2 linked regions of the Oryzias latipes genome follow. The protein of the gene in region 1 interacts with the protein of each later gene in a pairwise test. Links are inferred from orthologs where the notes say so. Each region holds a gene or a part of one and is shown in the gene's direction. Other genes may lie near its edges. The genes, in order: exosc10 and mphosph6.

Region 1 (3,819 bases):
CCATGTTATTATTTATTTTTTTATTAAAGAGAAAGGACAAAGCACAACTTTGTCACACATGAATATATATCGCATAAATAAAATCGTTTTTTATTTCTTTTATTTTTTTAAATGAAGTTTACCCAGGAAATCCAACCAGCAGCATTACTTTGATTTGGAGTCATTTGATGCAGAGAACTTACTGACTTTCTTTCTCAAAACAATAAAGATTTTTAATCGTTTAATGCTTGTTTTATTAACGTGTATCAACAAATTCTCAATGGATGTTTCCCTCGATAAAGATGACTTCAACCAAGGGTTAAAACATTTTTTATAAAAATCAGCAGAATGGAAACATTTAATAAACAAACATAGATTTCCATGTTTTTATTCCTTTTGTCAGCAATAAAGTTTTCATGGATGTGCAATTTTTGATTTTTATTTATCGGTATTTATTTTTACTAGTGACTTTCTCCCATGTAAAATTTTTCTGTGTCGCTATTTTGTCTCATTTTCAGGTAAGCATTGATTCTCAAATCTTAATGCTGTTCTTGCTCTTTTTCTTTCATGAAATTTTCATCCTTTTTTTCAAATCCTGTGTTAAATAATAGTCGGATGAAAAAGCTCGGAGCCGGTCTCTGCGTGTTCCCTCAGAGCGTGTCTAACAAAGTTGGTGCGTGTCCTGTTGTGTGTGGGAGCAAACATGACTCACGCATTGTTGGACATCTGTGAAAAGTGTAGTGTGTGTGGGCGTCGGCAAGAAAAAAAGAATTTTGAAGATGATTCAGATAAAATGTCATGTGCTTTGTAGAAAGTTCTAATGTTTTTTGGTAGGAATGGGGGTCGTTCTCTTTTCCCTGAAAGCTGATAAATGTGGTCCGTTGCTGTTGTCAGGTGTTTCATGGAGCTGATTCTGACATCGAGTGGCTCCAGAGAGATTTTGGCTTGTATGTGGTCAACCTGTTTGACACGCATCAGGGAAGCCGAGCTCTCCACCTGGCCAGGAATTCACTTGACCACTTACTCAGACACTTTTGCAATGTGGACTCGGACAAAAGATACCAACTGGCCGACTGGAGGATTCGGTTTGTTGCTCATTTTTTCCCCCTATTTTCCTACGCTGTAAATTTATTAGAAAAAAAATGTATTTTTACCTGTAAAGATGCAATCGGTTTTAGATATACTTTAAAAAAATGTTAAATAAATATTATCCTGTGGTTTGTCCCTGTAGCCCCCTACCAGATGAGATGGTGCAGTACGCCCGAACAGACACCCACTATCTCCTTTATATCTATGACTGTGTGAGGGCACAGCTGTTGGACTCTAACCACGGGCAGCCGGGCCTCCTGCAGTCTGTCTGGAACAAAAGCAAAGACATTTCACTGACGGTTTGCAAAATCTAACTTTTTCTGATAGTCATATTGAAGTGTCAACCAATGACTGTATGGAACAACTGGACTGAGTGAATGTGACATCACCCATAGAAAATGGCTAACTTCCAGCTCCAACAAAAGGAGGTAAAGTGGGTTAACCTATTTTTTCTTTTTTGGGGGCGACATGAATGTCGCCATGTTGGAGCCAGACAACATCACAGAGTTATGACTGGTTGTGTCCCTCACTACTTAGTTCATTATGTAGGGCGTTTGGCATTTTGCCGAGGTGTCCAAATCTAAATTCCAGAATCCAGTGCCCTAGAAATTTCCCAGGCATCTCTTCAAACAACTAGTGAGCCCGGATGTTCACTAGATTGGCAAATATAGACCACAATGCATTGGACAATTTGTTATTTGAGAAAAAAGTAGTTCAATATATTTTATAAATCAGTTTTCATCATCAGAACACGGTGGATTCATAAATAGTCTTTGTAAAATGGTCATATAAAGGTTATTACTTTGGCAAACGGGTAATGTCATATTCAGCATTTCAAAAAGACTGAACAAATGTGTTGTGTTAAAATCCAAGGCACTAGATAATCTTTTAGGGGTTTTTAGGGGTTATGAGGAAGTCAGATTGGTCACTGTTTCTATGGCCACCTCCCTCACCAATCAGGTGTGAGCTTGTTGGAAGTCCACACTCGGGAAAATCTGTCGAACAAGACGTGAGACCGGATACTTTTATTGAAGCATCTCATTAGTCAGTTTACAACTTAATTAACTTGCCATTAAAAAAGAAAAATATTAGGATTAGAAAGAATATAAGTGACTGGATAGCTTAGTTGGAACCGGCAAGTACTATCTGTTTGGAACATGAGGAGGGAGGGGGTCACTCAGTCCTGGTCTCATATACAGTTAATAGGGACACTACAGAACTTTATTCACATTTAAAAAAATCATTTGTGATTTTATTATTTTTTTATGTCTTATTTTTTTGCTGTGCAGCAGGGTTTTTGGAAAAGTTCACAAATGTACAAAATCCAAAAAGCTAAATCCTCCATCCCATTTCTCCCTCATAACAGTCTGATGTGAACCCATGTGTCTCTGGCTTCTCTGTAACAGAAATACATGAAGCCCGTGTTCACGGAGGATTCATATTTGGAGGTTCTGAGGAAGCAGAAAAGGTCTTTTAACACCCAGCAGCTCACTGCCTTTAGACTGCTCTTTGCCTGGAGGGACAAGCTGGCCAGGCAGGAGGATGAAAGCACCGGGTAGGCCGTGTTCAGCTCATCCACAGGATTTTGAAAGAAACAGAATTTTCTAGCAGGTTTAAAAATTTGTTTCTGTTGTTGTTTTTGAGCACAGATACACGCTTCCCATTCACATGATGATTAAAATATCAGAGGAACTGCCCAAGTAAGTCAACTACAATTTAGATTTGATTTTTCGGCTAGTCTTTATTTTTTATGCCCGATCTTTTTGTCTCTATCTCACTTTCTCAGGGAACCTCAGGGCATCATTGCCTGCTGTAACCCCGTACCCCCGCTGGTGAGGCAGCAAGTCAATGAGCTACACCTGCTAGTGCAACAAGCCCGAGAAATGCCCCTCCTGAAGGTGAGGAGAAACTGGAGGCAGCATTGGGACGCAGGGACTGTTTTCATATCCTTCAAAACTTCAGTTGCAATACTTTCTTTAAACACAGGCTGAGATTGCTGCTCAAAAAAAGAAAGGCCTGACACCTGTGAAAAAGGTTGGCAACAATTAAAATGTTTGGAAAATCCGCTTAAACCTAGATGTGATTATTTGAATTTGAAAGATATGATGTGTTTTTCAGCCGGAGGTCACATTGTTTGGCCCGCATGATACATCCAGGGCATCTGAGAGTGAACTGCCATACTTTTCACCTAACGGTAGGCTTAAGTGGGATGTTTGGATGTTGGAAGTCTTTTTTTTTATTTTTCTTTCTATTAAATGTTTTTTGTTTTTTTGACTTGTAGAAGCACTGGTTAAACAGGGCAGACTCTTCTCTGAAAATGAGAGCAAAATGGATGTGGATGAGCAGAAAATGAGTGGCCTCTTAGCGCCAGCTAAAATAACCCTCTTCCAGGTAGAAAGTTTTAGTTCTCCAGCTAATCAATTTGTCTGAAACTGTAGTGGATTATTTTAATCAGTGCTTTGTTTTGAAGGAGCCCGAGGTACACACTGAGCAAAACTCCCTCTCTGTAGCTCAGATGAAGGCCAGACGAATCATTGAGTCTTTTGAAAATCCTTTTAGAATGGTAGGAAATGTCAAGAGCTTAACCTTCACAATTCTTTATTTGTGCTTTGGCAGAATAATAATTTATTGCTTCTTATTCCAGTATTTACCTTCCACCGATGTGCATGTCAACAAGAATGCCAAGTTTGACCCATCCTCCAAAATATTTGAGGTACCTGAAGAGCTTTTTTGTGAAATATATTGACCGCT
Region 2 (3,919 bases), on another chromosome or scaffold:
CTTTGTTTTATTCTGCAGCATGTTCATATTTGTATAATTTTGACAGAATATATTTCTATGGAGAGCTAAATATTACAAGTTATTTAGGGTTTAAGTTAACTTGTGTTCCTGTTTTTATGCATATTTATGTTAAAAAAGTTCAGTTTAAAAGGTTTAAAAGTTTAGCTTTAGTGTGTTCAGTAAATGTTTATCTTCTTCGGCCAAAAACCTTAAGCGTGTTTGACTGAGTTTGACCCCCCTGTAATACGAGTCTAGAAAATGCATGCATTTTTTATGTAAAATTGCTAAAAAGAAGATAGGTAACACAACAGGATGTTGTCAAATTTTGTATGTGTGCGGGGGGGGGGGGGGCGCCTGTGGGGTTACTCGCCCAGGGAGTAAGTTAGTGTAGAACCGCCACTGCATTAGCATGATACAAACTTTCCATGTCTTTTACCCTGCAGTTCATCATCATTCCACTAGGGGCAGCAGAATGGCTTTTACTGTATTGCTTATTGCAAAATGGCCGCCTCTGTGACATATCCATAACACGTTTGGCAGGGAAGTTTAGCAAATGTTTATGGTGAAAATAACCCATCTATTGTTATTCATTTTCAAACGCTGGCGAGGCTCGCCTCCCTGGAAGCTTTTTCTCCGCCCTTACAGTCATCGCTCTGACCGTACTCTCTGTTACAACTGAGTCCTGCAGTCAGACATGACGCGAAGCGCTCCAGAGCCTCACCCGGAGTTTCTGCTCCCTATGTGAGCGCACAACAGTCAAATTCTGCAAATTTAACCTCAGAAACTGTGGGAAATGTGTCGAGTCAACTGAAAATGTGTCTTTAATACGGATCAGAGGAAAATCATATTTACTTAGTGTACGTTTTTCTATTTTATCACATTGACCAGTGAGGCCGAGCTTCACTTGCCTCATCTGATCACATGTCACTGTTGAAGTTGACATTTTTTGTACCACCTCTATGCTTTATTGTAAACTTAAGATGTTCCAAATAAGTCTGACGAAGGATACAGTTAGCATACTTCCTACACTACTAGGCCTATAGTAGATTTGCTCAATGCATATACAAGTATCTTACTAAAATAAACTTCAAGTGTACTATGGTACTTTTAACTAAAGGTTTTCTAGAGTTCCACGTCTCTCTTTTTAAGTCAAAACAGAAAAAAATAAAAATAAATTATTGACCTGTGTTTTATCTTTCGTCTTATGATATGACATGCTTATCTTTTAAATTAATTTTCAATTATGTTTTTACAAAATGTAGGCTACTTCGGTACAATCAGCGATTGTTGTAAAGCGACTTACAAATAAAGTTTTTGGAATGTTTGCCACGTGACCCGTTGGGTTTTGTTGACTGTCGTGTTTATTACTGTTTATCTATAATGTGTTGTGTTTATTTTGTTGTAAACTACACATCAAACGCATTTCCGTTGATTCACCTGTTCTTTAGCTTGCACTTCACTGTTCTGTGATCAAAAATTACCTGTAGGATAAATACATAACTTAAGGAAAAGCCTCGATTCCTCGGTGCTTGATTAATCAGGCCTGCCTGAATTGCGCATGCTCGACTTTTGACAACATGTCTTTTCCGGCGCGTGGGGCGTTTGTTCTGCTGCAGTAACCAAACCAACGACGTCCTACGGTTAGGTTGAATCAGTTAAGGTTAGTTTAGCGCGGATAGTCTGTTTGTGTTAACCGGAGAAAGATGGCTGCCGACGGAGTGAAACTCTCCAAGAATCTGCTGCGCATGAAGGTACATGCTAGCACCATTAGCTAGCTGCGGCGCGAGCCGCTAGCGTCGATTCATTTTGTTGGCTCCAGAGTGAGAGAAATGGACCAGAACTGATGTTCGTGTCCATAATTCTGCCTCTTGTTCTTCATCCTTCGGCAGGGGCCTGTCTTATCTCCATTCAAGGATCTTTCTGGTTGAATTTGTCAGAGCTGGGCATAGTTTGGGGCTTGACTGTTTTGGTTGGTCTGCTTTCGACTGAAAGGTGGTCATAACTAGTTAATAGGTTAAGAATGACGAACCACAGGTGGGTTAGATTTAGTTTGGTGCTCGGTTTCACATAGTTGCATTGTAAACCTTTAAGACACGTGATCACCTGGGTGGACTGACTCTCGTGAGGTATACTGTACTGCAGATGAGAGCGTGCACGTAGGCGTATGCATGAAAGTGTCATCTGTGGCTGCAGTTCATGCAGAGAGGGCTGGATGCAGAGACGAAGAAGCAGCTGGAGGAAGACGAGAGGAGGATCATCAGCGACGAGCATTGGTATCTGGACCTGCCCGAGCTCTGCACCAAAGAGTACGTGTCTGTGCTCGTGCACGCCTCGCCTGCAGTGGTGTGAACACCTGTAGGTGTGGATGATGGTGACCTCTGCTCCTTCATCAGGACTGTGCTGGTGGAGGAGGAGAGCTTCACTCCCTGTGAGGACTTGCAGTTTGGCCGGATCTCCTTCAGAGGCTTTAACCCAGAGGTTGAGGTGAGGTTCAACCTACAACCGTGTGCGTGCGCACGTGCGTGTGCATGCGCACGTGCGTGTGCATGTGTGCTCTGACCTGTCAGTTGTCCTCACAGAAACTGATGACCTTGTTGAATCCAAAAGATGAAGATGAAGAGGAGAAGGATGTGAGCTGCATGCAGACAGACATCACAGATGAGGAGATGGCTCTGAGGTACACTTCCTCTTCCTCCTGTCCTCCTCAGATGTTATTTGATAGGGTTGCTCTTTGCTCAACAGATCGGTTCCAGTTCTGGATCCAGAGCCTGACTGGTGCCAGGACTGGAACCGGGTCTAAAACGTCGACCCGCTTCATGTCGATCATATAAGCTTTGGGGGCGTGGCTACACAGCCGCAGGAAGAGAATGGAATCTGCTCTGTAGTGGTCTAAACTCTACTCCATCCTCGGGTAGTTAAGCTGATGATAAAGAACTCATTTGGCTCAATCCATCAAACACTTCATTTGTGGAGCGTCTTTCTTCAACGTGCTTAGAACACAAGGTGTTTGACATAAAAAACAAACAGGTTGAAATTATAAAAAGTCATAAAACCAGCAACAATCAAGAGGTGAACATAAGATGGTAGAAAACTGTGGCTACTAGTTATTGTTGAGAAGGCGCTCTATAAAGAGAGTAATAAAAGTACAAACGATTAACAATATAAGCCATGAAATACTTTAGACCCAAATAAATAATTGAATTAAATGAAGACGTTTTTGAGAATTTACATGAACATTTACAGTGAAACTCTCCACAGATGCAGAAACTCTCAGATCTTCAGGTTCCACAGATGAGGACCACGGTACTGAAATGAGGCCTCAATGTGGGTCCTGGTCCTCAGTTTTTCGTTTAGATAAGAGAGCAGAACCTGAGGATCTGAGAGTTGTGGAGGTTTTGGAAGGACCTAGATCTGATAAATAGGAAGGTCCCAATCCAAAAAGACATTTATAAACTAGAAGGAGAATCTTCAAATCATCCAGAGGCTGACAGGAAGCCAGGAGGGATGTGAGCTCTGAATTCTGGACGAGCTGGAATCTATTCATAGATTAAAAGAGCATCACAAAAGTCCCGTCTAGATATGATAAAAGGCAACATTGTTAAAGGAATACAAGCAGTCTTAGTTGTGTTTGATATGTGGATTTTAAAGTTAAGATCTTCCTACATTTATACCAGAGTTTTGAAGTGAGTGTGGCTTCAGGCCCAAGGATCAGTTTCTGTTTGGTCCTTGTTGAGTTTGAGAAAATTAGCTGTCGTCCATTCTATGACATCACTAATATATTTAAGAGGTTTGTCAATGGGATGTAGGCCACACTGGGAGAAGCTGTGGAAGTCTACATCCTAACGTCATGAAGTGTAGCTTAGTGACGTTACCCAGTGGGAGCCTCTACAAGTGAACCCTTTAACACTGGAGATGTTGC

The links.
Region 2: the proteins of exosc10 (region 1) and mphosph6 interact in binary tests that used the Homo sapiens proteins (3 or more experiments, as listed by UniProt). The link is inferred for Oryzias latipes from reciprocal best matches to the Homo sapiens genes EXOSC10 and MPHOSPH6.

What each region holds. Positions count from the first base shown.
Region 1 is NC_019865.2:9,469,827-9,473,645, forward strand, and holds part of exosc10 (exosome component 10), read left to right. Parts: intron 1-873; coding exon 874-1,064; intron 1,065-1,210; coding exon 1,211-1,367; intron 1,368-2,474; coding exon 2,475-2,623; intron 2,624-2,717; coding exon 2,718-2,768; intron 2,769-2,854; coding exon 2,855-2,966; intron 2,967-3,054; coding exon 3,055-3,102; intron 3,103-3,186; coding exon 3,187-3,262; intron 3,263-3,349; coding exon 3,350-3,459; intron 3,460-3,538; coding exon 3,539-3,631; intron 3,632-3,712; coding exon 3,713-3,781; intron 3,782-3,819. UniProt on the Homo sapiens protein: Catalytic component of the RNA exosome complex which has 3'->5' exoribonuclease activity and participates in a multitude of cellular RNA processing and degradation events.
Region 2 is NC_019864.2:5,684,935-5,688,853, forward strand, and holds the start of mphosph6 (M-phase phosphoprotein 6), read left to right. Parts: upstream 1-1,518; 5' UTR 1,519-1,703; coding exon 1,704-1,751; intron 1,752-1,792; exon of another isoform or gene 1,793-2,034; intron 2,035-2,142; exon of another isoform or gene 2,143-2,193; coding exon 2,194-2,306; intron 2,307-2,393; coding exon 2,394-2,484; intron 2,485-2,579; coding exon 2,580-2,677; intron 2,678-3,919. UniProt on the Homo sapiens protein: RNA-binding protein that associates with the RNA exosome complex. Involved in the 3'-processing of the 7S pre-RNA to the mature 5.8S rRNA and play a role in recruiting the RNA exosome complex to pre-rRNA; this function may include C1D.